Oryzias latipes: one gene and its partners. The protein of the gene in region 1 interacts with the protein of each later gene in a pairwise test. Links are inferred from orthologs where the notes say so. Each region holds a gene or a part of one and is shown in the gene's direction. Other genes may lie near its edges.

Region 1 (4,259 bases):
TGTTGAGTTTTTAGAGATCATTTATTAGAACTTTACTGGACTTACTGACTTTGTCTTCTTTCATAAATATGGAGACATCTTTGCTCTCAGAGTGAAGAACGGGTTTTTCTGTCTTCGGGGCTGCAGCTCCCAGTCCCAGCCGTCCTTCTCCATCCAGGTCATTCATTATGTGGCCACAGGAGGAGATAACGACTTCAATGGATGCTTTCCTTCAGTGGCAATTAAAGTTTTGAACTCTGCAGACGTTTGATTTCGACTCTGGAAAATGGGATCGGCTTTGCTCTGGAGCAAACAAACAAATAAACTCTGGTGCAGCCGTCCCTCATGCATGTGCATAACGCCGGATCACTGGTTCTGTATTTAGTCTGCAGCTCCACACCTCCACACTGCTTATCTCACTCCTCCGCATGCATTTCTAAAAAAAAAGCCTTTTTTTTTTCTTTTCCCAGCAGTACTTGTGTCTCTGCGTTTCAACCATCAAACACGTTGCCTCTCTGCATCGCCTCACTGCGACGTTAAATCTGACCGGACAGCATAGTTAATCTTTAAATAGTTTAAACCCGGTGGCAATTTGAGCAAATAATACATGTCCTTATGTGTCAAACGATGCTTTTCTGTAAAAAAAAGCATCCTTTAGATTGTTTTCACAGAGTCAAAAAGGGCTAAAAGATGCTCTTCATGCTCCGTTCAGAGGCTTCCACTTTATATTTTGTTCTAGTTTTTTAGAAAACTTTTGGGTGATCCTGAAGTTTTGTTGCTCTCAGATTTCTATTGATTTTCTAGAGGTCATAGGGGGTCAAAGTCATGTTTTTAGTTGGAAAGCTTGAAGTGATTATTGATGGGTCGTAACCATGGAAAAGCCTTTCTTCTGGTGTTTAGTTTGGTCTTTGGGAAGTCATCATTTCATATTAAAGCATTTGAGGACAATCTTTTCAGGGCTTTTTGGAACCAAAAACACAGAACCACAGTTTAAGTTCAAAGAGCTTTAACTAAATTTCCAAAAATAACTGCATTTGTTAGCTGGAGGAGTAATATTTTCCACAGAAGGTGACGACTGGACACTAAGATACAATCGCTAATCTCAACCTTAGGCTCAAACTTTAAGAAAAGTTTACAAACATGTTTTTCTCTTTATGTTAGCCCAAAAAAAGATTTTCTTTTGGGATGAGAACTGAATTAAAAAGAAATAAATTTTGGCAATCAATATTTTAAGAAGATTTACTTATTTATTTATTATATGATAAATATTCTGGAATAAAAAAGTATAGATAACTTTAATAGACAAATCTTTTTCTGTTTGGATTGAAGCGTTGTATTTCTCCCCACGGTCGATGCCACACAAACACCGGCACGCCGCTGCTCTGCGGCCTCTGTGACCCACTTGGAGGACGGTCTCAGAGGAGCTCCAACCCGTTCGGGAAACAATGGCGGTGAAACGGGGCTGGGTCCGGGCTCGGGCCGTCCGGCTGCGGCTCGGCGCGGGCTGCTGGCGTCGGCATTTTTACAGCCTCACATTGAGAGTTATCAGAGCATGCAGGCAGGAGATGGAGCAGCTCGAGGGGGGCTGCAGCGGGTCCTGGGCTTGACCCGCTTTGTCAGTTTGATGACTTCATGCGAGCACTGCTGCTCCAGAGATTTACCGGTTTACAGTTCCAGAGCGGGGACATCCAGTTCCATGCCGAAAGGATGAAAAATGAATCTTTCTGCATGGAAGTTCAACATGTGAGGAGGCTTTAGTGACCTGACGATGGCTGATCCAGGGCATTTCCATTGGTTAAGAGAAACCGCCAGTTTGTTTCCAGGTAAGATTCAGCCACTCTGGATTTTAGGAGAGGCGGCAAACATCTGTGAGATGATGAGGCACGTTTGTCCTCACCTGAAGCTGTTTTCCAGCCGGACAAATGTTTCTGGGGGCAGAAATGTGGAGACTTTTTAATCAGATTAAATCACCTGCAGAAACGAGATGAAGGTAAATCAGAGAAGGAGATCAAAGAGTCCGACTTTTGCTGATGACATGAAGACAAAGATCTGCTATTTTACGTCGTTTTTGAGATGGTGCTGACAGAAAAAAAAAGACGAGAAAGCTCACTTTGACCTTTGAAATGGAAACAACTGCATGTTTAATGCAAGTGGTCCCTCCCTGGATCCAGTTCATCACAAGCAGTGGCTGAAATGATGTGTTGGAAATCACCATCTCAGGCCCACAGAACCAGCGCTGCCACGTCCATCGGGCTGACATTTGCTACCCAAAACCAGCAGCGGTCAGCGTTGATAAGAATGCACCGTCTGTACATGTGCATGCGTTTTTGCCGCGGCGAGTGTCTGTCACGCCGCCACGGCCCAAAGTGGAAGGAAGCCTGTGGAGGTTCAGATGGTGACAGATGGTTTGGAGACAAATCCATCGGGGAGTCAGGATCTCTGCCCTGAGACCGGTAGTGTTTTTATTTTAGTTGTTCTATAATTAGAGAATATTTACCTCTCATTTGTCAGAATTTCTGAGCTGGAACTCCTCGTTTTCCCCCTTCCCCACAGGATGAAATGTTACTGATATTACTAAACCCTTTTGTAGTTTCCCTGTTGGAAGCTTTTAAAGGTTGAAATTCATGTTATACCCCTGTTAACTGAAATGTATCATCTGTAGTGGACATTTCTAAACCTGAATATCTTCCAACCACTGTCTACTACTAGATGAACTACTTCTGGTTTCTACAGAGGACATTTGGGGCTTTCCAATGATACCAAATGTGAAGAAGTGGGGCTCAGGTTGTCAGGAGGATTTATATGAGAAAAAGATTTTATCTTCCAGCCAAAATAAGCAAAATATACATTTTTCTGAGGAATTTATTGTCTTGTCTTCAAGAGTTGAGGTTGCTAACCGTTTGGCTGCGGTCAGAAAACACAGACCAGCAAAAGAACTTTCTTTGATCTTTTAAAACCCAAATTTACATGACAGTGAGGCGTTTCTTTACTTTTTTCTTTTATCTAAGCATTTTATAAAGACAGGAGGGTTTAAAAAATGCAAATGTGGTTAAAGCCGTGAGCAGCATTGCGTAGGCACTACCCATACCCGCCATCCTTTGTTTGACCCGCCCCCACTGGCTACACGCCCCTCATTTCCCCCCTTCTGCCCCTGCCACCCTGCTCAGAGCTACACTTAACAAATTCATAAATGACAGATTTTTCAAAATGGTGGCTTTTCTGTTTGTTTTATCTCCATAGTAACCATTGTTCTTTTGGGTCTTCTGGGGGTGACGAACAAATCTACGTAATTTTAGCAAAAATCGGGAAAAGTAATGTTTTGGATATCCTTGCCGACAGGGGTTTTTGTTGACCACGCCCACATTCCTAATCTAAGTAGCTTCCCGGTGATGCTCGAGGAGATCAAAGTCCCTAGGAAGAGTTTACATTTGTAGAAGGTACTAAAGGTAATTTTATTTTATAAACCTAAGATGGTGACCTCTTCCTAAGGTCAAAGGTCAATGAAACTTTGGTTGTAGACTAAACCTGGGTTGTGTCCGAATTCCTTCCCTACTCACTATGTAGTGCGTTCTCCATTTTCTAGTGCTGTCCAAATCTATAATTCCAAAATCAAGTGCCCTGGAAATTTCCCAGAAGTCTCCAGTGTGCATCGATGTTCACTAGATCAGCAAATATAGACCACAATGCATTGCGTCAGAACAATTTTTCCCCAAAAATGTATTTAAATGATTTTTTTTAAATGAACCATCATCGTTTTTATCTTCAGAAGACAGTGGACTCATAAATAATCCTCGCAGTTTCTCCTGTTTTCCTTCAGAAGCGTTTGTGGAGAAGTGATGCTAACATCCAGTCTGAACTTCTGCAGAATGAAAGAGGTGGAGATGTTTGCACGTTCATTCCTCACAGTGGATTAAAAGGTGAGGTAGGATTCTGCAGGTAGAGAGAACCTGCAGAGAGAGAAAGGTTTGAGAAAGGTGAACCTTTCTTCCTGAAACCGTCCAGTGTCTGTGAACTCCCAGAAGCCTCATCACCCGAACCTGCAGCCTGAAGCTGCTGTGAAAACGAAGCTGCTAAAAGCTTCCCAGGACTGTGGCTGTTCAAGTGCATGAACACGTTTGACAGTCTGCTGCCTTACATGCATTCAGTGGTTTATGGGGGGGTGAATTGTTGTTTTGTCTCCTGTCAGTGCAGCTTGGCCGGTTTAAGCCCTAATAGTCTGTAATCATCTCATCTCCATCTAGGTGAGGGGTCAGCATCTTTACTCCAAGAGAGAGCTTCAG
Region 2 (3,500 bases), on another chromosome or scaffold:
TAAATCTATTAAAATTTTGGATGGCAAAATTAATCTTCAAATAACTTTTACTGTGAGGTGCATTGCTCAACCCTTACTGTTATGTCTCTTCTGCCACGTGATATTTAAAAGTTGAAAATAAGCAAATGACTTGAAAAGTTGATGGCTCTGCAAACAACAGGAAGCTAGGAACAATGAAACTGATAAGGTAAGCAATCAGGCAGACACAAAAGAGGAAGAAGTTGTAGAATAAAAGGGGTGAGAGGGGTGAAGACGAGGGTCCCGAGCTGAGCAGCACCCACAGGTGAATGTGCCTTTGCTCAAACTGCTGCATTGAAGTCAAATCCCAAGAGCTGGTGTGCGGCTCACAAAACCATTGATGGCAACGGATAAGAGATATGCTTTACTTCCAAATTCTCCGTCATGGATTCTAGATCTGACTGTTAAATAAATATAGTTTGACTGAGCAGATTACAATGACCGTTGCCCAGATTTATCTTAAAATAAGCAAAGTTACTTCACATGAGGTACATAAGAATCCTCCATGAAAAGTTCAACAGATGAAGCTCCAAAAAATCCTCACATTGCTCAGCCGAACGCTCAGCTCTTGTTCACTTTATTGACTCCTATGGGGAAAAATAATGGTGTTATCTGTCATTATTTAGTTCACTCAATCATAGATTTTTTACATTTTAAAATATTCACAAACCTACAAATAGGAAAGTTTAAGTTTAAAGCCATCCTTAAATACTGTTGACAGGGTAATGTCTGTTCAAAGGTTCAATAAAAAAACTAAAGTAAATTTTGCTTTTGGTGTTGGTATTGTGTTTTTTAAGCTTACAGGAGTTTATTTATCACAGCCCCTGCCACTACACTGAACAAGGAATTCATTTTACATTCCAGTTTATTCCCTTTTATTGTTGGCTTGCCTAACACAGTGAGTCTTGTGCTACGGTCTGGTAGAATTTATAAAGAGAATTTAGTGTTTTTGATCTGAAAATGGTTTTGTAAAAAAATTGTTTACCATTTCTTAAACCAATCGGAAAAAACATATTCTCCATTACATATTTAAGAATGGTTACCATATGTAAATGATATAAGTCAATAAAAGAATCAGTTAGATAGGGGAATTCAAACGTTAATGTTCCTTTTTTTAAGGTTGAACTTAACCTTATTAGACACATCTCTGATATTTATAACATTATACCATTTTATTTTTATGTGTTTGTGCTTCTTATTAAAAATGTCTTCTCATGCATACACAGGTACAAGAAAGCTGGAATATGCTGGCTCTACATGGCACGAGGGCTGCTTCATCTGCCACAGCTGTGAACAGCCTATTGGCTCCAAGTCCTTCATCCCTGACAAAGACGAGCATTACTGCGTACCTTGTTATGAGGACAAGTTTGCTCCACGGTGCACGCGCTGTAAAAAGGTCAGATTGTTAATTTATATGTATACAGGAATTCAAATTGATTTTTTTTTAAAAGACCCTTCTAGTGCAGTTTTGCAGTTAATGACATTGGTCAGATTTAAAAAATAGAAGATGAAAAACTTATTTTGTGATTTTCCTTTTCCTTAAAGGCTTTGTCTAAAGGTGGTGTGACCTATCGGGATGAGCCTTGGCACAAGGAGTGTTTTGTCTGCACCAGCTGTGAGACCCAGCTAGCTGGTCAGCACTTCACCTCCAGAGATGAAAGCCCTTACTGCCTCAAGTGTTTCAGCAGCCTATATGCCAAGAAATGTGAGGCCTGCTGCAAACCGATTACAGGTAAGATTTTATGGTTTTTGTTTTAGAAGTAAGTTGTAGTGTGCATTAGCATTCTAGTTTTCTTAGCCATTTCTTTTTACATCACATCTTTGTAACATCAAATCCTTCATAGTAAAAGTGTTTTTTTTCTAACAATAATGCATGTTGCTTACAGAGACTACATATGTGCAGAGCAGAAATGTGTTTATTTACTTTAGACAAAAGTTGTCAGTTGGAAAAGCCTTTATACAGGTTGCCTTTAACTGTATTATTTTAACAAGTTAGTTAAATGACAGCTGACAGGCTCAGATTGTTATTTTAGGAATCTGGCAGCGGTGCAGAAAGGCGCTCTTCAGTGATAGACCTCTTTGTTTACGTTCTGTTCCTTCTGCTCTCCATTGTGCCATCTCTATTAGCACTTGTGTTATTTCTGTAGGCTACAAGAAGAAAAGACACTCAAATTCCAGTCTGACTTGACCGTTTATTTTAGCAATCAGACACAGAGAAACTACTATAATCACAATTCATGCCACATGCCAGCTTTATTTTTTTATGACAAGTTTTAACAATTTCAGATGGGAATTTAATTTCACGTCTATCACTATTAATTTGAAGGAACAAATATGGACAACTTACGCCTTTGACCTCCTTCTGTCCAGGAAAAGTTTTTTTGCAGCAAGACACATAATTTTTTGAATACAAAAGTCAAATGCTTGGACATTTTTCCCAAATGCAACATTTTCTAAGATTTTTTTAATGTTTTTTTATTTTGCTTTTTTTTTACCTAGTCATTATGCTTTGGCTAGTGTTCAAATATAAAAAAAGACCAAAGAGCAAAAAAATTGGAAGGTAAAATATAAATGTTGCAACAAATACCATTGCCAGTGTAAGAGTGGGAATAATTAAGCCAGGTCAGGTGAAGGCAGATAAAACTGTCTATGACCAAAATCTCCTTTTTATTTATTTTTTCTAAAATGCAAGTTGTTGTTTGAAAACAGGTAATTTTTGGATCTAAAGTGATTGTTGCACATGTCCCAATTTTGATAGAGAAATATTAGTACTTGATGGACAGGTACCCTGTCTGTGCAGGACGAACACGTGAACATGTCTGTATGACTTGTATGTAAAGCTGAGTCTATACTTTCCAGGAATTCAATGTTTAGGTGATAGAACTCACCTTTGGTTAAGTAATGAGGGGGATTGCATTGTTCTGTTGAAGAGCTGGTATTGACTATTACTGTTCCCAGAATAGTCATCACATAAAAAAGTCAAAATGCACAGATGGGGTTGACTTTGTTTCCAGTTGTCACTGGTGGGTAAAATGCAACATGATCAAAAATCCCAATTTGAAGAATTTAATTCCACATTGAAAATGCAATAGTTGTATGCTGTGTGCTACCAACAAGAGGATACCCATCAGAATACAGGACTACAAATTGAATAAAGCTTAATACAAAGAAATTAAGTTAAAATCTCACTCAAATCATCTTTTGATCCATTGTAAAAGTATTGCTTTCGGTCTTTTAATTATGATGATCGTTTTTAGTCAGCTCGGATGAGGAAAACAAAGAAGTACATGGATTAATTTGTCTGCAAGTGGATGCATCAGAATGGATCGGAGCAGTGAGCTTGTGGCCCACCAATCAAAGGACCTGCAAGCTTTTTCCAACAGCATTTTTGTCTGCTCCTGATTAGCAATGATTTGAATTAATACAAATGATGAGAAAGACTTGTCTTTATATATGTCCTCTATCATCACAAAATCCCACAA
Region 3 (4,226 bases), on another chromosome or scaffold:
GAAACTAGCATGTGGTGTCTATGATGTGCTGCTGTTAAAAGTAAACCAAGTTACTTTTTTTTAAGTAACTTTTTTACTTTTTTTTTACCCATCAAAATGCAGGGAAGAATTTCCCCATTGTGGGATAAATAAAGTATCAATTATTATTATTATTATTATTATTATTATTATTATTATTATTATTATCAAAGGCTGCCTGTCAGGTGTATTTAAAATAGACACAGAGACATCCACAGGATTGTTTCGAGCTTATTTTTTCTATTGTAATTTTAACTTCTTCCAAAAAGATTTGTATTTAGTGACACTCCCACATGCAATGCTTCAATGTGCCTTTAAATCCACATTTTGCACAAACATCTGGTATGTTATTATTATATTTATTTAGTTGCACTTGTGTAGTATACAAACGCATTAACCATTTAACCCTTGTGCTATCCCAGGCACTTTGACATTGGGAGTTGGGTCATCTAGACCCACTAGACAGTGCTCTGAACCTTTTTTCTTCAATGATTTGTGATCTTCACTGGCGTCCATGGATTACATGAAAGCTTTCCACCTTTATCCACCTTTGTCATGGTAGGGAGAACACATCAATGTAAGGATGGGGTCATCTAAGATAGCACAAGGGTTAAATTGTAGTATTCTCAGTCGACTGTTACTACAACATCCCCTTGTCCAATCGTTTTCATTAATATTTAGTGATAAGTCATCTTTCCATGATTTTAATTTATCTATAGGGGCCTTTATTACATTTAGTATATATTTTCTGGCAGTAAAATAGTATGGGGTCAAATTTGGATCAGTTTATCAGCTCAGCAGCGAAAACTTAATTGAAACAAAAAACTGAGAACTAAAAGCAGAGAGGGAGAAACAAAGAAAAAGGGAGTTGAAAATACATATAAACGTTTTTTTTTTAATTTGGTTTAAAAAAGTCTTACCATAGAACAGTCACCAAAACTTAGGGTTAGGGTTTTATTTGTGTTTTTCTTCTGTTCTAAAACAAAATACATCTTTAAAAATCAAAATGTATTCTAAATCAAAAAATATAACCATATTGTTTACTTTTAAACGCTTGTGTTATCCAAGGCACTTTAACGTTGGGAGTGGGGTCATCTGGACCCCACAAGACAGTACGTGGAATCCTTTTTCTTCAATGATTTGTGATCTTCACCGGTGTCCATTGGATTACATGAAATCCTCTCCCATATATCATGGTAGGGAGAACACGTCAATGTAAGATATAGCACAATGGTTAAGTATAAAAGTTAGTTTGTAATCCTAATTTGTTATCTGTCCCACTTTCTTTGTGTCCTTATCACTTAATGAAAATTGCCATGACATGCTCTTTTAGCATGCGTTTCCTCTGACAAACAAACATCACGCCCCCTCCACTCTCCCTGTTGCCTTCTGGTTGTAGCCCAAGCATTTCAGTTTTTTTTGTCAAAGACGTAATTTGCAGAGAAACTAGGCTCGCTTTGGCACCGAATGGCGCGGTCGCAGATATCAGTGTAGCACCTCCCACGTGACTTGTGACGTGTCACGCCGTAAAAGATTTTTTTTTTTAGGAGAATGCATATGCTGCTCAAGGGGGGGATCTTCAACGGCTTCCTGACGCCGAGAGGAAGTCCCAAAAAGTAGATAATTTTTGGGGATATAATATTTTTTAAATTCTACTCCCCGTCTTGTGGTGTCTAGCGGATACAAGGAGGTAGAGGTATGTTTATGAGACACAGTTCTTCAGTTTATGAGTGCTATTTTAACTTCAATACAACTTTTTTTTAGTTGGCTTCTCCTCCGGCTGTTTTTCTGTTCTAATTGTTTGTTCTTAACTTGCCTTTTTGAATTAAATCAAATTGTAGCAGCACTAACGTTTGAGTTGGAGCAGATATTTTGGACTGCCCCGTCCGGTTAGCTTACTTGCTTCTCTGTGCAAACGTCTAGCTGCTGTCTTAAGAGTTCCCAGCATGCTCTTCAATTACCCCTCCTATTAAAATCACGTAAAAGCTTTCGATATAAGCTCGTAACTGTGTCTATACAGTGTTAGATGGTTAGTGTATTTTTTTAATCCTTAAAGAATAGCATAAGTTTCCTATAAAGTAGACTGACAGTAAATTAGAAAAAACGGTGAAATGAGTTGACTCAGCCTGCTGACTTAGTTGAATGAATTGGTACAGAATTGGTATTTAAAAAGGTAGTTCATCATCTGAGGATTCCAACACTTTTGATTTATTGTTGCTGTTAAACTGTATGTTTCTTTTAATCCTCTAAACTGTCTCTTTAACTTTATGAACGGAGGATTAATTTGCTTTTGCAAAAGGAAAATATCAATTTCAAACGATAAAAAACACAAAAGAACTCATATTTGGTTTAGTTGGGAAGATATTTTATTAGTTATGTCCTCTTTTTGGCAGAAGTGGGATGTTTTTACATTAGTTTTTGGGTCTTAAGCTTAATTATTCTATGTAATTTTAAAGAAGTGGATAATAAAATGGGTTTGTTGTGCTTCGTACCAGAGAAACTACAGTGCTAGAAGGTTTTTTCTGTTCCCAAGTGTGATTCTTGAAAGAAAAGAAGGATACAGAAATGAAAATGACTTATGTTTTGACTCTTTGTCAAAATGAAGGGGTAGTTGACGTTACCTCTCTCCTTCCAAGTGCCCCCCCTCCCCTGTGACTCATGTGGGTGTTGGGCTGAAATAGTTTGGTGTAGTTTTACATTCCTTATATAGCCTCTGAGGAGAGAGCAGAGGCTAGGACTTGTCTGTGTCGCACGCAGCATCAGGGGGGTACTTTCTGCTCGCCCGGCTTCGCTGACTCCCCGTCTTTCTCTCAGGTTTGGGCTACAAGCCGGCCCTCGAGGGTAAGGTAGGTCTGAGCGCTGGGAAGCGGTGTTATCATTAGGAAGGATTGGAGCTGGTAAGATCCAACGAGAGGAGGAGCAAGTGCTCGAGCAGGAGCACAAAGGTCAGCGGTCAGGTCACGGTGAGAGCTGGTGACGTCGACACGCTCATGTAAAAGGACTTTCTTGTGAGGTGTCTGTCTGCTGTTGAATTCCTGTTTGTAAGGTCTTCTTGTACAGTTGTAAAAATGAACTAAAAAGACGGCGTTTTATTACATTTCAACAACAGTTGAGTTGATTTTTCTTCTTCTGTCTCTAAGTGTTGTTGGTGTGCAGCTCCCCAAAGTGTGTTGATATAAGCAGGAATGTCCTATCATGTAGATGCAGCCCTGGGATTTTATTGCCTTCTTTTTTTCCCTTCTAAGGCTGGAACATTAGTTTTTTTTTTTACCCGTTAGCACCATTAGAGAAATATGAATCGATTTGCATCACTGTTTTACGAGATGCAAACCACTGGAATAAAATCTAGCAGACTTGAGTTTAGTTGGATTATAAACCTCCATGTTTAGTATGTCATGAAGAAAAACAGTCAAAATTGCTTGTCTGTGTGGAACGTGTCAGGAAAAGGCAGTAGTAGGAAAGAATATATGGACTCGGATCCCTTTTCCTGGCTTTCTGACTAATTTAGACTTTTCCTTGTGTTCCCTCTTCCTCAAGGCTATGAACTTGTACACTGTTACCCTCAATGGCCCAGCGCCATGGGGCTTCAGGCTGCAGGGAGGCAAGGACTTCAGCATGCCCCTCACCGTGTCAAGGGTAAGAACATGCCAGAAAATTGCATTTTTCTGTGAAAATTCAGCTTGAGCTGTTGACTCAAGATGCTGTAATGTGCATAGGGATTAAATAACATTCAAAATTCTGAAACAAATGCTAAAACTTTGCAGTGCAAATACCCAATATTAACAGCAGAAGCTGCTAAGTTAAATTGTTGATTAGATAACTTTTAAAGTTGCTGGAAAAAAAACAACAATAACCAAATATTGTTAAATTCAACAACGATCTCCAAAACTGCCTAGCAATACAACAAATTACTGATAATGGCAATTTTTTTCTTTTAAAGGAATGATTTTGACTAAAGGAAATTATTTTTTTGACCAAAAAGGATTTTTTAAATTATTTTTTTATTAAACTAAAAGTGTTTTTATTTAAAAACAACAAAGAACTTTTACAAAACCAAGTACAAGGGAAAAAGCCACATGTCTGCTGAAGCTGTAAAAGTTTGAATTATGTTTATAGCTGAAAGTATGCTGAGGTTATTGCTTCTTAAAGAGCACAAAGGCTTTCAACGTTTGAAGCTTTCCATTTGTTTTTAATGAGCCCCAAAGTCT
Region 4 (3,936 bases), on another chromosome or scaffold:
ATCGATGATAATAATCAGAGATGAGTTCCTTCAGTTCGGGGTTTTTTTGGGGACCAAAAATCGGATCAGAGTCCGAGTCTGACACCGTTTCACCTTCGTCGACCATTCTCCAAACATTTACAGATTTCTTTTGTGACAGATTTTGTCGCCGAACCGGTTTACCGGCGCAGCGGGGAGGCGCGCGGGTGCGAGGCGTGTGTGACCGGTGCGCTCCGGACCCCCGCCGGCGGCCCGCTCACCTCTTTTCCAGGCAGTAATCGGTGACACCACCTCCACCCTCTCTGAAATCAGCTCCGCCAAACTGGACCGGAATAGAACGGCACGGACCGTCACGGCGACAATCATTAGGAGCGTCAAGGGAGCCGCCATCTTCGCGAGGAAGCTCTCTCGCCCTGCGCTCGAGGTGCATGCTGGGAAGTCAAGTTTATTCCGTCTCGTCAGGAAAACATTTACCTCCAACCTCCACAGATTTACAGTCCAAGCAGCGATAAGGAGCGAGTTTAATAATAATAATAATAATAATAATAATAATAATAATAATAATAATAATAATAATAATAAAGGAACATATTTACAAAAAGACTATTTAAAACGCATAATTCAAGCAATTAAAATCAAGATTAGAATTTTGTTTTAATCAAATATTGTATTTAATTTTATGTGTAAAGGTAAATAAACACATTTTAAACAACTTGAAAAGGAGTTTAATCTCAACAGAGGAGTTTTCATATGATCTTGTTGTTAGTTCTAATTTTGCATATGCTGAATATACATAAAGACGCTGTAATTTTAAACAATAATATAGCACATATTACAGGCGTTTTTCTTTAATCACCCCGGAATGCGGAATGTTTTGTCATTTGCGTGTTTTCAGTCGAAAGATTTATGTGACGGATCAAAACAAAACTGCAACTCGCCGTCTAGTTGGAATAAACTATTTTACTGTTTCCGGGGGCGTATTTAAAAATAAAATAAAATTAACGCTTTTGTGGGCCTGTGTTAGCGTCACGTTGAAGTAGATTATCGTTGTTCGTTTTAAAAATATCTGATTACTAAATTGTGACTGTATCACGTCTACAATACTATTTTAGCGTGTCGTATGTGTTTTCTGCAATCCTCTAAAAGCCACGTGCTTTTACTTTGAAAATCCCTGCAGGAAGTCGCTGTGGTTGTTATGGAAGCGACGACTCTGCGATTTTTGTTTTCTGTTCTTGTTCTGTGCTGTTGGTTTGTGAGACAACATGGCAGGCTTGGAGGTGTTGTACACCTGCGTCACAGGTAGCCTGACTTGTCCTCAGGACGCCCTCGTGTGTTTCGTTCACTGGGAAATGATCAAGGGAGGATACCGGTGCATCGGTTCCGGAGACGAGGTGGGTCGAACTAGCTAACTTAAGCAGAACCAGAAGAGACAAACCAACAACACATTCTGGTTTTATTTAAACACATTTAAGATACGAGACGAACCAAGTTAATGCTGTTTGTTTACTTTTAGATCGTAGTTTGTTGACAGCCTCTGAAGTCCCTCTGAGTTACAGTTTTGATTTAAACTCTCAGTCTGTGGGAATAAATGTTAGCTTTGCTACATTAGCAGGAGGATCAGGATGGAAACTGAAACTGTCCTGCAGGCGATTCAGAGGAAACCTCCGCTGAGTTGGTTCTTCTTCCTCCATCTAGGTGACCTTTGACCTCCTAAAGTTCTGCATTGAGTCATGTTTTAGTCCGATTTTTAGTCTCGTGCAGTTGGCACGCGCCATTTGGTCTCATACTAAACAAATGGACTTTCCGCAAAAAGTGTCACGTCATCTTTAGCGCGGGGGGGGGGGCACAGAAGCGTTTGAAAGAGAGGGTGTCTCACCCCCCCCCCCCGCCCCCGTCCCTCCCCCCAGCCCCGCAGCGGTGACCGGAAGTCGGAGCTCCTGCCTGCAGACTGGAGCAGCAACAAGGAGCTGTACAGTCTCCGCTACGAAGGCGCGGACGCAAAGATGCTGCTGAAAGCCGTCCCCGTGGACTCTGCTGTGATATTCAACCTGATGGTAGGCATGGGGGGGGGTCCTTCAGGACATGAGGGGGTGGGCACTCTGCTGGAATGAGGGAGAACGAAGCATTAAATGCAAAAAGTCTGCAGCGAACCTCACATCTGAGACGACAGAGAAACAAATCTGAAATTTAAAAACACAGAGGCCGCTTTTAGGTTTCATGGCAACATTTGGCTCGTTTTAGAACATCAGACGTGTTTTGATGATGTAGGGAGCACACAAAGGCGTTATTTATCATCTCAGAACTGTTGAAAGGTGAAGATTTAGTGGAATAGCTTCAAATTAAAAAAATAGAGAGCAGTCAGAGATTTTAACAAAGGTTTTCTGAATGAAGATCAGATGGCTTTAGGTTTGAACTTTGATGGTTTTCTTTTATTTTGATTTCCCAGCAGAAGTTCTGAAAAGGTCTTCAAAAAGAAACTTAAACTAGAAGGAGCTGCATTTCTAGAAGAAAATGCCGGTTAAATGCTGTACTGCTGAATGAAAATGAAACTTAAAGGGGAATAACGGGCAAAAAATAAAGAAATGATCAAAGTTGACCATAAATAAAGTGAAAACAGCACAATAACAAAAATGTTTGTGAAAAATGCCAGAGCCGGGTATCAAACCAGCGAGCTTCTGCACCAAGGATTCCCCATTTATTTAAATGGAGGCAGAAATCCTGGAATATCTGGAAAAGTTCAAGGATTTGAAGGACCAAAAGTCACAGCTGGAAAAAGCTGAAAGAGCCGAACATTTGAATAGATGGATGGTTGAAATAGATGAGTAACTGTAGAAGATAAGCTGCAAAACATGGCTGAAGATACTAGAATAAAGAGAAACAGGAAAACAATAAATATTTCTGAAGCAGAAACCTGGTGAATATATTATGTGTAGTTGTGCAGTGAGTCGGTACAGCCCTCTGTCTGTTTCTTCAATCTTTATTATGGTGGCATGTTATTTTTCTGTTCCGTTCACGTCCTGCAGACATGTGGACTCGTGTTGTATTGAACATGAGTCCACGCGTCACGAACGTCACAGAAACTCTGAACAATCGTCGTTCAGAAATGCTGACGTCAGATTCCAGCTGAAGGTAACGGCGGTGTGACGGCGTCTGCTTTCTGTGTGTCTGAAGAACTGCAGCACGCAGCAGGTGACCGACCTGACCGTGAACATGAAGGATCACGTGGACGCCGACCATCTGGACACGTTTGACAGGTCGGTGTAAAAAAACGTCCCCCACAGGAATCAGCAGTTCTTCCTGTTTTCAGTCCCTCAGGGTCACAGAGTCACAGGTGAGGAGGGCAGACCATAAGAGCTGCGGGTGCAGAGGTAGCAACCCTGAATCTGGATGAAATGATTGACTGAAGGCTTTTATTCTGAAGGGTTTTCATAAATGGAGACGGTTTGTCAGAGAAGGTGAGGGCTCAGCTGCTGCCCCCCCAGGAGAAGAAAGCAGGGAGGAGGAGTTTGCGGGAGGATGAGGACGAAGCAGGAGGAAGGAGGAGGAGAGAGGAGGACGACCCTCTACGCATTCCCAGCAGACGTCCTGGTCCGGGAACGCAGCATCCATGGTTGGGAAATTCTGGCATTGATTTGATCACAGCGATGGGATAAAGAAGTCTTTATTCTCTCTTTCTAGAATATTTCTATATTCTGAAAGTTAAAAGAAATGACGTTAAAGTAAAAATCAGGAATAAATTCCTGTTATTTTCTCACAGAACTGAATGAGTTGTTAGATCCGTCTGAACTTTAAAGGATAAAAGCAGAAACAAGTCTATCTAAAGATGAGCTTTTATTTTGAAAGGTTTATTCTGTCAGGAAGGAAACAGTCATCACGGATGCTGTGCTGCTCCTGATGAAGGTGAGGTGATTCTTCATCATTTGATGAACGCTTTGTTTTTCAGGCGTGAGCCTGCAG
Region 5 (4,050 bases), on another chromosome or scaffold:
AACCCCATCAGCCTGACAGAATGATCTCCAGCCTGGTGCTCGTCAACATTGTCACCTGAGTTAACAAGACGATGAATGAAATGATCTCAGCTGGTTCTTTAATGACACCAATGAAATGCCGTGGAAAGAGTTTTGGGGGATTAAGTTCATTTTTATGGCAAAGAAGGACTATGCAATTCATCTGATCATCATAACATTATGGAGTATATGCAAAATGCTATTATATGTATTTAAGCAGCAATTATTTTCCAATTTCCAACAATATTTACGTCATTCTCCAAACCTTTGACCACGACTGTACACACTCACGTGCTGGTTGTCCTCAATCTCCTGCAGAGCCTTGATCTCCCTCAGAGCCTGATTGGGAATGCCGTCCTCCAGCTTCCTCAGAGCCACCTTCTTTAGAGCCACAGTTTCCCCGGTCTGTCAGAAACACGTTCATCCATCAGCCTGAATGATCACCTGTTCAGGTGTCTGTTTTTTCTGCTCCATGAACATGTTTCACCTGCACGTGCTTGGCCTTAAACACGATTCCGTGAGCCCCTTCTCCAATCCGGCCTAGGATGCTGTACTGCTCCATGATCATCCAGGACCCCTGCAGCTGCAGCGGGGATCTTTATGGACTTGGACTTGTTCCTTTACTTAACGGTTTTTAGTCCACGGGTTTTAAGAGCGGGGCTCCGGCGCGTCCAACCAAAATAAGCACGACATTTTGAACGGAACGAGACCGGAAGTGGGCGCTGATGTTGCCTCGGTCACATCTGATAAATAAAACTACGAAACTTTAGTATATCGTTGAATATTTAGTATAGTGCTGGATATTTACTTGATGCGTAAAGCTGATGACATGTACGCGACACCAAATGTGCGCTGTCCTTTGGCACTTGACGAGATATTTTGAAAACGTTTCAACTATAGTCAACGCAGCTCTCCGCCATGTTTGTTGACAGTGACGTCATCACAGGACAATCCAAATCAACGAAAATAAAACAACGAAGAAGAATAAATAAAATTAGCACAACCAGCCATTAAACAAAAACATATATATTTTAAAATTCATATTCACATAAGGTTTAACCCGGGAATTAGTTTATGAATAATTGCCACGTTCTATATATCTGGTAGAATATGGAAGAATAAATGTAAGTGAAAATGACCAAATAACAACTGTTTGCACAAAGTGCTTTAAACATAAAAAGAAATTAAATGTTCTTTTTTCTGCTCCTCTTCTACGCTGAAACCTGGAAGTATCTTGTCGGAGTACTTCCGGTTCAGAATCTTGTTTAGATGACTGCATGTGGGGCTGTGAACTTCTTTACAAGTGTCTGAGCTGAACCGGCCCGCAGAGCCCCCGCATTAGCCCCCCATCCCCGATGACTCCGCCCACAGACGCCGGTTCTGACTCGAGGATGGAAGAGAAGGTCCTTCAGTATGAAAGATTCATCGAGGAAGTTCTGAGGAGAGACCTGCGGTAAGCCCCTCTGGGTTCTGCTCCGGTTCTGAAAGTCCCCCTCTGATGAAAATCATGTTTTGTGACATTGTGGTATTTGTCTTATGAAATACAACAAATGGAATTAGACATGGTTTCATTTTTGCATTTCTGAGTGTTTCTCCTTTTAAACCGCTGTCAATCAAACTGTCTCAAAGACGCTCTGTTTGAACTAATGCGGTGTTGTGACGTCACAAAGGCCCAGGGGAGTATTCCAGAAAGCAGGTTATGCACCCACTATTGGAGAAAAATTGCCCCAGATATTGAATGGAAGAAAGTTTGGACTTTGTCCTCTAAATATTTTATTTCAAATAAACCCCGGGATGTTTGTTTTAAACTTCTTCACAGATGCTACCCAGCCAAATCCTCATTACACATAGACATTGATAAAAATTGCTCCTTTTGTAAATTAGACACTGAAACAATTATACATCTTTTCTGGAAATGCCCCCCAACAGCAATTTTTTGGAAAGACCTTACCTCCTTTGTTCGATGTTAAATTTATGAAAAATTTGATTTGGTATACAAGGATATATTATTTGGTTTTTATAGTGTTAATAATTCACTAAGAAGGGAATACTATTTAATTAACCTTTTGATAATACTAGCCAAATTCCACATACATAAATGCAAATTTTCTGAAAAAAAGCCCTTATTCAAACTTTTTATGATTGAGTTGAACCAATATATCAAAGCAATAAAACATTCTTCCAACCCCAAAGCTATAAGAACCTTTGACACCCTGGAATTTTTTTAAATGTACAGAATAGCAACTTACTGCTTTTTCTGCTCTTGTTTATAATTTTTTTTTTCTTCTTTCTTCTCCTTTGTTCTTTTGTTCCCCTGGCACATTTTGTTACTCTTTTTTTTTATCTGTGTACTTAAAATTTACTTGAATGAGTATCTTGTATATCTTCAATAAAGTTTATTAAAAAAAAAAAAAAAGAAAGCAGGTTATGCTAGCTCCCTCGGTACGTTTGAGGCTAAGGAAGTTGATAACCTCAGCTTTCAGTTCCAGAAATAGAGGTATGTTTCAGGTTATGTCAAGTTGCCATAGCAACTCATGCTCTGAACATAACCTGGTCTGGAGCAGGTTTAGTTGAAGGTTAGTTTGTTTACAGAGAGGTGAAGCAGCATGGCGTGTCCATTTGAAGATGATTTAGTGGATGAAGAAGCTCAGATAATACTTTTTACACCATGAGAGGGTGATAAGACCACATATGGATGTTGGAAAGATAAACTTTTTTACTTTGATCTAACTTCATTATTTGCTTCAGTTAAGATAAATAATTTTTTTCAGTTCAGTCAACTTAAAAATAACACATAGTTGTCAGACAGTTATTTTACTTTCATTCAAATTAATTCAATTGAGTAGGTGTAACTTTGGTGCTGCTGTTAGATCGGCACCGCAAGGGATTGTGGGATAGCATTCCCTTTGCCTGTCTGGACGGATTTGGGTTTAAGTGTGGCTTTTTGACCAAATGTGTTTAGTTGTTTAGCTGTTTTTATTGTGTTTTGCCCAGTTATTTGTCCTACTATGCTTAGGTCTCTGCACCATGAGGGAGAGGATGATGAGATTATATATATGTTATATATAGAGAGACCTGAAAGAAAACCTAAAGTTCAGGAGGTCAGAGCAGGCTGGCTCCCCATCCTGCAGCAGGTCTCTGTCTGGCCCCCAGCTCGCCTCCTGGGAGCCGCATAGTGAGATCAACCGCTCCAGCTCCATGGGCCCTGGGACAGACTGTCCAGGCTTTAGCCGCCTTTGTTCAACAGCAGCTGGTGTAGGTAGCATAACCATTCAGCCTGCAATAACCGTTTGGGGTCCTTTCGACTGAGGATGATGTCACATTACGGTAGCCCCACTTGGACAAACTACGTAGCGTGGAGATCTGCTCGGGCTCTACATATTCTCATTTCACGTTTCCTTTTATAACATAAAGTTCTTTTCCCTCTTAAGTTGTGTCTGACATTATTCTTTGTAGTGTTTATAGAGATTTTGCCACAACCCCCTTTGTAAAGATCTGTGGCTGCTAGAATGAACCTGCTGCTCCACAGAGTGAACCCTGTCTCTGAGCAGAGCAGCTGGAGTCTCGTAGCTTCGTGTTTACAGGCAGGGAAGCTGCTTTGTCATAGTGTGCGGTCTGGAGAAGGGTTCTGAACGCAGTCCATTCATCTGCAATGCACCTAATAATAATCATAATATTAAAAGCACGTTTAGAAGATAATGTCGCTCTGTGTCGGAGCTCTGTTTGTTTACAACGGACCGTATAATATCTTCTTCTATGGTAGTATTGTCATTTGTCCAGACCAATCACTACCTGACACGTCATTGGACCAACAGACAGTCATCACATAATGTGACGTCAGCACTAGTCGAAGGACCCTGAACGGTTGTTGCAGGCCGAACTGTTATGGTACCTACACTGGGACGGTACTGAAAAAAGTCCAGCGCTTGCCGGACTTATTTGGAAAATTGCAAGAGAATTGTTACTTTCTTTCTGGCCTTTCATTTGAATTGCTGTGCAAGTGAATTCAACAATCTGCATGTCGTTGCATCA
Region 6 (4,228 bases), on another chromosome or scaffold:
TCCCACTTTCGGGTGAGGAACGGCCTCTTCCTGCTGATGATCTCCCCGGCGAAAAAAGTGGTCAGGGTCGGATATTCCTACGAAAATGTGCAACTGGATTATACCAACAATCTTGTTTTGTAAACTTTACAGCGTTAAGGCTAGGTTATCGCTATGTATAAATCATTAATAGAAAATTAAGACGTTTAAAAATATTCTAAGCAAATCGATCCCTTAATTAAAAATATCTGCACTTCAGAGGCAGAACAAAACAAAAAACTATGTAGAATTATTTGGCTCACGATCAGTTGGACTAATATTTAGTCATTGCAAGAAAAATTACACAAAAGGTGGAGGAAAAACTTGCAAAAACATTTAAAATTCTAAGTCCAGTTCATCCACATGTACATATTCCAACATGAATCCTCTAAATATGAACAGAACTGACCTCTGTGAGTCCTTTTATTTTCAAATAGCCACACAAGTAGGAATCCTCCATTGTGACATGCTGTAACAAATAATAAACAGAACTTTTAGGTCAAATCTCCACTGAATTTATGTTAAAAAAAATAACAAAAACAAAACTTGACGGTCAGAAGCTGCAGTTTCTCAAAAAATGTCAACAGCCCCTAATGTTGCAACATTTAAGCTAGTTGTGATAGTTTGTGTTAATTTAAACTGGTAGAAAATTGTGCAGCTGGTTGTTGTTAGTCGGTGTTGTTTGGGCGCAGTTGCTCTGCTACTCCCACCACTACACCCACAGTTGGTCCAGGACAGGCCGGGACCCCCTTTTTTTTTCAGCTGTCACTCTTCCAGCCGCCACTTTGACACATCACCCGAAAGCCTCGCGCTCGCAGTACGAAAAGCAACATTTCCGCCTCGGTGCCCCCCACCTGTAAGACCACCTCAACGTCGTAGGAGTTCCCTTTGCTTTTCTGGTGGCCTCTGAACTTGGAGCCGCTGTACAGCAGCGACGTGACAACACCGGGCTGGTGAGTGTTTATCGGCGGCAGCGGGATAAGCGAGGCCGAGGATGCAAAGGCCGCGGCCGGGAACTCGCTGAGATATCCAGCGGGGACAGGCATAGCTCCAGCTTCGCAGGCTGAACTCCAACCGCGGTCAACGGCCGTGCGGCAGCGGGACTCGGTCAACCTGTACGACCAGCCAGAAAGAAAGTCCCGAGGAGGTCCTCAAACATTCAAATTGCTCTTAATTGCGCCACAGTTCAGTTTGCGAAGCATCAAGCTCCCCAGAACTAAAAGTGGACTTCGAAGCTGCGCTGTAACCAGTAGCAACGGCTTATCTCATTGGTCCAACAACTTCACCCTCGAAGATCGTCGACGCTCATTGGCTGAGCAGGCGGAAGAGTATTCGTGAACATTTTTGATGTAGTTTTTAAGTGATGTGTAAGCGTTAGCAGTGCCAAAAATAAACTACATTTCCCAAAGCATGCAATGAAAACATTTTGTAGCTTTGTAGCATCGAAGGTCACACGCGTGGTTTTGAACCGATGTGTTACTGTAAGCTAGATGAAAACCTTAATGTTTAACAACAGATTTATTGTAGAGTCAGGTTCATTATACACTCAAGATCTGTTTGTTCAATGTGGTACTTTAGTGCGTGAGAGACCGGCTTAAGAAATCGCTAGTGAATCGTCTTTTTTATTGTAAACAGTATACGTCCAAATTTAGGTATGAATATGTTTAGACGTGTTTTTCAACTTCGAAATTCCTTTGGAAATGTAATTTCAGTTTGCAAGTCGTGTCCCAGTCATCAGTACTCCAAGTGTTTGTCAAAATACTCCACTGCATCTACAGGTAAACGTGTTTATTTTGACATTACTATTATTAATTATCAATATGCTGTGTGCTAATCATGTGCTACATGTTTTGCTATTTGACAGAGAGGAAGAGATTTTATCAAGATGTCAGCATATCTCAAGGAGATGGTGAGTCTTATTTAAAATTTAAAATAATTTTATTTATTGTTCCAGGGAAGACCAAGATTGATTATATTCTCTAATTTTGTGACGATTTTGTCCATAGATGGTTTGTATGAAATAAATCTGGATAGAAGGAAACTCAAAACTCCAGGAGGGAAGCTGTTCACAGTACCAAATGAAGCCCTGGCTATCGCCGTGGCAACAGAGTGGGATGCTCAGAGGGGGACACTCAAGTTTTATACCATGCACCTTGTATGGGATATTTTTTCTGACCTATTTACACCACAGTGTGTAGCCAGCCGTACTCATATGCCGGTTGAACTTTTCTTGCAGACCACTTTGTGCAACACGGCTCTGGACAACCCCACCCAACGCAACAAGGAGCAAATGATCAATTCAGCGTTGAAGTTTTTGGAGACTGACACGATCTGGTATGGATTTAGCTTTTATACTGTTTCTGTCCAGAGTTGATGATTATTTGGCTCATTTATGCCGGTTACTCAGTTTAAAAGATAAAACACCTGTATTTCAAATCAATATTTTACTTGAATGGAGAAAAAATGTTCTTAATCTAGAGAGAAAAGCAACAAGGACTTCAAAATAAAAGCACCTAACAGAAATACCAAAACAATAGAAAATTCAAAATTAGGTTTGTTTAGATAAAAAGTACCCAAACAAATCCTGGACTTGTGAGATGCAACTACATCTAATATGTTTTTTTTTTTTTCTATTTCTCTTTGTAAAAAATAAAACGTTATCTGCCATTCTGTGCTCTTTTTTTGCAATTTTTTTTGCAAATAATAGTCAAAATGCAATTACTTTTTAGCTTTTTGAAAATGTTCGAACCTATTAATATAATTTAGACTTTTTTTTTCATTATTATAAATTATACTTGTATAATGAGATATATTGTTTAACTGTCAACTATGTATTAGATAATCCCTTTAGTTCTTTAAATTTATATATTACATATTTATTTATTTCCCTTGTCTTTTTAACTTTTTACACATATTTAAAAAAAACTTATTATCTTATTCAGAATTTAATTTAAACATTTTATTGTGGTCCTGAAATATTCAACTTCTTTACACTTGTCTGCTTAATTGTTTTATGGATACCTTAGTAGTTTTAGCAAACAGATTTGCATCAGTCTTTTATTTACAATTATTATGTTTTAGCTACTTTATTGTGTAGGTGTGAATTTGTAATACATTTATTGGCACTATATATCTTTTTACATTTTCTATTTACTTTAGCATATTAGCTTAGGATTTAGCAACGTTCACTTTCTTAATTTCTTTAGCTAATTAACAATTTTATTTTACTGTTTTTTTGTGTTGATCCTTTTGTTATTGTGATTATTATTAATAATTATGCAGTGTATTTTTAGTTATCTCCCTTTATTTGACTAATGTAGCATTTTGCACTAAACTGTAATGCCACTGTAAAAGAAAGCAGATGTTTTTAGCTTATTGCAGAAAACTAGCATTTTTGTTTATGGAAATAAAATAAAAGAAATGAATTTTGGAACTTCTATGAATTTCATATACTAGATATTTGCAGGAGAAACTTTTTTTTCTCGGTCCATTGTCAGATGATTCCAGACTCCAAAGCATTAAAAATAAAGAATTACTGTGAAAATGAATGCAACAAACTTTTTCTTTGACCTAATTTCTTTAATAGGACCATCATTGTCTGGCCAGTAAAGTGAAAGCAAGGTCTGTTTTGTTTTCACCGGAGATGGTTGCCATATACCTGACTGTGGAGCAGGCTGTGCTGCTCTCTTATAGCATCTGCCATTTGGCTGCCTCTTTTTTTTAAGTTTCATTTTCAGATTAAGTTACCTTGTTGTCACAAAACAGTGATTTATTTATGCTTTGATTCAGTTACAGAGTGGAGGATCCTCCTGGTTTAGTGGACCTACAGAAGAACGAGTGGGATCCGGTTCTGCACTGGATTGAAAACCGGTAAAAAAAATAAAACAAAAGCATTAATCTTCACATCTTGTGCAGTAGACTTCCAAATGATGTAGGAACTGTCTCAGTAAACCATACATTATTATGCATTTTCTCTGTACTATTGCATGGCAGATACAATGTCACTATTGGATCTTCATCGAGCATTCTGGGTCCTGAAATTCCACAGGCAACCAAGGAAACTTTTCGACAGCATCTCAATTCTTACAGCCTCTGGTCCCTGACGGGTAAGACATCTCAACTCCAGAAAACGTGATCATCTATAGATCTCAACTTGTGCAGGCTGAGATGATGTATTTATTGTTTTTGAAATGTTTAAGAATTGTGTCTG
Region 7 (4,172 bases), on another chromosome or scaffold:
TTCATTTGTCATCCGTGTCCCTTTTTGACTTCCTCTGGCCTTGGGGCTTTAATCACTTCACTCATTTAGATGATTCACAACATTCGGACTGCATCCTTTGTCTTCACTGAGTTGCCAAGAACATCTGTCAGGACACTTGAAAAACAGAAAATGCTAAATTTTTGCCTTATGAATGTTACTTGTTCAGACAAATAACCTGCCTTTTTCTTTCCTTTCATAGCTTCTTTAGTCTTCCGTCTGCGTGCTCCTTAACCTCAGGAAGGAATTTGAATTAGAAGACACCAAAACGTCAAACTTCTTTAATTTTACTATATTTACTGAACGTTTTATAGAAATTGAATTAAGAGAGCCTGAAGTCTTCCACATCAACTTGACTTTCCTCTTCTGTCTTATAAATGCTTTGTGGCATGGTCTCTGCATGAATTAAGGCTCTTTTTCCTGCACTCTCCATTGCCAAAGTCTTGGTTTTGTACCGAATATGCCTCCCTGCTTCATTTAGCGTGCCATTATTATGGTTTCTTTCTAACTGATGAATACTTACACTGTGATATTCATACTGTTAACTGAACTGCATTTGCTGTTTGATGGTTACAAAGATAGTTTGATCATTCTATGATTTAGAAGCACCTTTAGTTTTCATAGAATAATTTTATGTATCTTAAATAATATTAAAACTATAAATAGTGCTTCTCTAAAAATATTTCCTATAGATGGAGATACAACTAGTCTTAAGTGCCAAAAGAATATACTGTGTTATTAAAGAAAATAAATATTAACAATAAATGTACCTAAACCTTTGGAAATAAATCTTGTAAATTTGTGTTATGTCAATATCATTGATTATGAAGAAATAAATATTATTATGCATTATTATAGTTGTATCGTTGTTGTTGTTTTATTTTTTTCAATTAAAAAAAACAAAAACTGGTTTTGGTCAGCTCCAGCTGGTGACAACTAACAGCCAGGGCTTACTCGCTGGTGAGGCTCAGGTTCCTTCCAGTGTCTTCTAGATCCCTCCTAGAAACACATAAGGTTGCCGAGTGTAGACACCTTTTTATAATTGTTTATTGTTATTAAGGTAAAATTGTTATTATAAGTTACTAGCTTTCATCTAAATAAGAAATATACTATTACTTTACAAAATCTTAAATAAAAAATTCTTCTGAGCCTCAACAAGTCACTTCTAACACGCCCATATCTCTCATTTCTGATTGGTCATTTGCCTCGTGAAGGGGTGGGACTTTTTGTGAATATCCAATTAAAATATAGAAGACTCAGCTGCTAGCCAATCAAATCCTCCCATGCTCAGACCCTAGCTTCTTATGCACTCTTATTTACCTAAACTGTCCTTTTCCCCGTCGCCTTAACCAAGGGTAGGGGGTGTGCATAGGCAGAAATCAACCTCTGCTTAAAAATTTTTTTTACGCTAAGTTTTATTTTTCTACAAAACTCCGTGTTTATTACCCAGTGGATCATAACTTTTATCATTAAAGACAACACGCTTTCAAGGTAGGTGCACCACGTTTATTTGTGTAACAACATTCACTACATGTCACAATTATGGTTAAATGAAGTCAACCTAAAATTAAAAATAGGAAGCATTTTGTGTTGTGACTGATCCATAGAAAGTACTATAATTGAGATATGTTGTAGCTAGCGTTAGCTTGAGTAGCTAGCTGCAGTTCGATTAACTCTCCTTTCCATACAGTAAAAAAAAAAAAGTTCATAGCCTAGCTAGTGCTTGAAGCACATATATCCGTTTTTCGGTAAAGTCTTTATTAAAGTTTTCACAAATGTGTTGACACCACGGACTAGTGTGTGTTCCTCGAAGCGTTGTTGTCTATGGCAGGAACATGTCCCGACATGTCGCGGGTTCTGCCCCAACATGGCCTGATCCATTTACCTACTGTTCTAATAGCCATCTATCAATATTACGAAGTATTTAATGGAATACAACGTTTTGATTATGACTCCAGATACCTGTTTGAATTGTATTTATCTCCAGTATATGTGGTAATTGTGTCCAATCATGCGTTATCCCCCCATCTAAAGTTCAAATAGGTGACAGCTGTAACAAATGTGTTACTTGATAACTTACCAATATAGAAACTCGGTCTGCTTGCTCTCTCCTAAGCTGTACACGTTTTTAGGCATATAAAGCAGGTTGCGTGCAGTAATCCACAGGTTCAAGGGTGTCTTTCTCATTTCATGTAAATTGATTAAGTTAATACCCAAAGACCAATGCAATGTTATACTTTGTGTCCCGTGTGCAGATCATCAGATTGCTCACTCAAAATCCCCAAATTTGGATAACCTGGCATGTGGTTTTTATTTTCCTATTCCAAATAATATCAACATTCTCCTGCTCTTTACAGATGATTGATACAGTGACGGGAGCTGGAGTGCAGTCCTCTGCAGCTCAGCTGAAGACCCTGATAGATCTGGAGGCCAGATACCAACCAAAGCTGAGCGGATTGAGGCTCATTGAGTGTGCCCAGGACAATGGCCTAAGGATGACTGCAAAACTCAGAGAGCTGGAGGTGAAAGACCTGCTCTCTCTTTCCAGGTTCTTTGGTTTTAGCGCAGAGACCTTCTCCTTGGCTGTGAGCCTGCTGGATCGATTTCTCTCTGTAATGAAGGTTTGTAATGAAACTGTTCTGGCTTGTTTCATGAATTTCTACAAATTAAATAAAATGACACGCCTCCCCTTCATGTCCATTTCAGATTCAGCCAAAGCACCTCTCCTGTGTTGGTCTTTGCTGCTTCTACATCGCTATAAAGTCCTCAGAGGAGGAGAAAAATGTGCCTCTGGCAAATGACCTCATCCGCATCAGTCAGAATCGCTTCACTGTGTCTGATATGATGAGGATGGAGAAGATCGTCATGGAGAAATTATACTGGAAGGTGAAAGCCCCCACAACCCTCCACTTTCTTCGACTGATTCACAGTCATATCCAGGAGCAGCTTGACTCTGAGGGGTAACTTAATCTTAAAATATGTTTTTTTTTTTTTTCCAGTTTGAATGTTATCATTGAACACTCTTTTTGTCAACAGCAAAATGATCTTAAGTATCGAGAGACTGGAGTCGCAGCTTAAAGCCTGTCATTGCTCATTTGCTTTCTCCAAAATAAAGGTATGTCATGAGAAACTGTGTACAAATTTTGATCATCTGTTCTGATAAAAAAATGATTCTGTACCTCGTACCCCACATGTGAATCATTCATTAATCCTCTTCACCCCTGTCGGGGCATAGGGCGTCTACTAGGTCTCTCCAGCCTCTCCTGTCCTGGGCCGCGGTTTCTAACTGGCCCCATGATAATCCAAGAGATTTGGCTTCCGCCGCCGTTGTTCTCTGCCATGTTGTTTTGGGCCGTCCTGGATTTCTTTTGCCTTGTGGGTTCCACTTTAGCGCTTGGCGAGTGATACTGTTTTGTGGTTTTCGGAGCGTGTGTTCGAGCCATCCCCACTTTCTCCTTTTGATTTGATTCTCCACTGGCTCCTGTTTGGTTAACTTCCAAAGGCATTCGTTCGTGACTCTGTCACGAACAGAGTCCCACATGTGAATACTCCAGATTTATTTATGTTGAGGGGACTTGAAATCTGTTTTTTACAATTCTTTATTGAGGTGACTGATCTGGAAAAGGAAACACTTATCAAAACAAATGTGTTAGGCTAATAGATTCAGTCTGAGTTGTTAGAGACAACATGAAGTTATTTCTCCTCGAATAGTTTCCATAGGATTATCAAAGGTGTACCCTCCCCCAGTCAAAGTGGCTTCTTAAAAGCAGACGTGTAAAGAATGTGATGGTGCAGACGAAAACAGACAAGACCTTTGAGTTCAGCAGAAGGTTGAAAAGATTAGCCATGATCAGTCAAACACACTGTTCTTACATGCAACCTGATGCTTGTGTTTGGAAAAAGAGAATTAGGAAACCTAACTTTCATTTAGTTTGAGCTGATTAAATTTATTTGAACTTGGCTCCAGGTTCAATTTGTCATCCCTTTTTCAGGGATGGACTTCTGGAAATAACTAGAATTTTCTTAAAAAGGAAATATGTCGTCCATGCTCGTTTTAACCAAATCCCCCTTGATTTGCTGTTTCTTTTCAGCCTTCTTTGCTTGCAATGGCTCTAGTTTGCTATGAGGCCCAGGATCAACATGACCCTGAACAG

The links.
Region 2: the proteins of pak5 (region 1) and fhl3 interact in a two-hybrid assay, tested with the Homo sapiens proteins (2 studies listed by BioGRID and IntAct). The two-hybrid records come from large-scale screens. The link is inferred for Oryzias latipes from reciprocal best matches to the Homo sapiens genes PAK5 and FHL3.
Region 3: the proteins of pak5 (region 1) and pdlim7 interact in a two-hybrid assay, tested with the Homo sapiens proteins (2 studies listed by BioGRID and IntAct). The two-hybrid records come from large-scale screens. The link is inferred for Oryzias latipes from reciprocal best matches to the Homo sapiens genes PAK5 and PDLIM7.
Region 4: the proteins of pak5 (region 1) and psmf1 interact in binary tests that used the Homo sapiens proteins (3 or more experiments, as listed by UniProt). The two-hybrid records come from large-scale screens. The link is inferred for Oryzias latipes from reciprocal best matches to the Homo sapiens genes PAK5 and PSMF1.
Region 5: the proteins of pak5 (region 1) and uxt interact in binary tests that used the Homo sapiens proteins (3 or more experiments, as listed by UniProt). The two-hybrid records come from large-scale screens. The link is inferred for Oryzias latipes from reciprocal best matches to the Homo sapiens genes PAK5 and UXT.
Region 6: the proteins of pak5 (region 1) and atpaf2 interact in binary tests that used the Homo sapiens proteins (3 or more experiments, as listed by UniProt). The two-hybrid records come from large-scale screens. The link is inferred for Oryzias latipes from reciprocal best matches to the Homo sapiens genes PAK5 and ATPAF2.
Region 7: the proteins of pak5 (region 1) and ccng1 interact in binary tests that used the Homo sapiens proteins (3 or more experiments, as listed by UniProt). The two-hybrid records come from large-scale screens. The link is inferred for Oryzias latipes from reciprocal best matches to the Homo sapiens genes PAK5 and CCNG1.

Annotation. Positions count from the first base shown.
Region 1 is NC_019882.2:2,145,488-2,149,746, forward strand, and holds the start of pak5 (serine/threonine-protein kinase PAK 5), read left to right. Parts: upstream 1-1,459; 5' UTR 1,460-1,747; coding exon 1,748-1,802; intron 1,803-4,259.
Region 2 is NC_019874.2:23,688,079-23,691,578, reverse strand, and holds part of fhl3 (four and a half LIM domains protein 3), read left to right. Parts: intron 1-1,244; coding exon 1,245-1,414; intron 1,415-1,563; coding exon 1,564-1,750; intron 1,751-3,500. UniProt on the Homo sapiens protein: Recruited by SOX15 to FOXK1 promoters where it acts as a transcriptional coactivator of FOXK1.
Region 3 is NC_019868.2:19,546,091-19,550,316, reverse strand, and holds the start of pdlim7 (PDZ and LIM domain protein 7), read left to right. Parts: upstream 1-1,426; 5' UTR 1,427-1,714; intron 1,715-2,711; exon of another isoform or gene 2,712-3,010; intron 3,011-3,036; exon of another isoform or gene 3,037-3,126; intron 3,127-3,553; exon of another isoform or gene 3,554-3,555; 5' UTR 3,556-3,558; coding exon 3,559-3,654; intron 3,655-4,226. UniProt on the Homo sapiens protein: May function as a scaffold on which the coordinated assembly of proteins can occur. May play a role as an adapter that, via its PDZ domain, localizes LIM-binding proteins to actin filaments of both skeletal muscle and nonmuscle tissues.
Region 4 is NC_019863.2:32,757,443-32,761,378, forward strand, and holds the start of psmf1 (proteasome inhibitor PI31 subunit), read left to right. Parts: upstream 1-1,136; 5' UTR 1,137-1,241; coding exon 1,242-1,370; intron 1,371-1,886; coding exon 1,887-2,033; intron 2,034-3,150; coding exon 3,151-3,233; intron 3,234-3,400; coding exon 3,401-3,589; intron 3,590-3,922; coding exon 3,923-3,936. Other genes in the region: pigu (phosphatidylinositol glycan anchor biosynthesis class U protein), read right to left, coding at 240-369. UniProt on the Homo sapiens protein: Plays an important role in control of proteasome function. Inhibits the hydrolysis of protein and peptide substrates by the 20S proteasome. Also inhibits the activation of the proteasome by the proteasome regulatory proteins PA700 and PA28.
Region 5 is NC_019865.2:33,765,944-33,769,993, reverse strand, and holds the start of uxt (protein UXT), read left to right. Parts: upstream 1-1,250; 5' UTR 1,251-1,373; coding exon 1,374-1,471; intron 1,472-4,050. Other genes in the region: cdk20 (cyclin-dependent kinase 20), read right to left, coding at 310-423, 506-586. UniProt on the Homo sapiens protein: Involved in gene transcription regulation. Acts in concert with the corepressor URI1 to regulate androgen receptor AR-mediated transcription. Together with URI1, associates with chromatin to the NKX3-1 promoter region.
Region 6 is NC_019877.2:3,256,401-3,260,628, forward strand, and holds the start of atpaf2 (ATP synthase mitochondrial F1 complex assembly factor 2), read left to right. Parts: upstream 1-1,428; 5' UTR 1,429-1,672; coding exon 1,673-1,796; intron 1,797-1,882; coding exon 1,883-1,927; intron 1,928-2,024; coding exon 2,025-2,173; intron 2,174-2,254; coding exon 2,255-2,352; intron 2,353-3,807; coding exon 3,808-3,888; intron 3,889-4,011; coding exon 4,012-4,124; intron 4,125-4,228. Other genes in the region: gid4 (glucose-induced degradation protein 4 homolog), read right to left, coding at 1-77, 428-487, 873-1,064. UniProt on the Homo sapiens protein: Plays a role in the assembly of the F1 component of the mitochondrial ATP synthase (ATPase).
Region 7 is NC_019868.2:17,586,292-17,590,463, reverse strand, and holds the start of ccng1 (cyclin-G1), read left to right. Parts: upstream 1-1,372; 5' UTR 1,373-1,509; intron 1,510-2,375; coding exon 2,376-2,639; intron 2,640-2,724; coding exon 2,725-2,978; intron 2,979-3,054; coding exon 3,055-3,133; intron 3,134-4,109; coding exon 4,110-4,172. Other genes in the region: septin-8-A, read left to right, coding at 221-275. UniProt on the Homo sapiens protein: May play a role in growth regulation. Is associated with G2/M phase arrest in response to DNA damage. May be an intermediate by which p53 mediates its role as an inhibitor of cellular proliferation.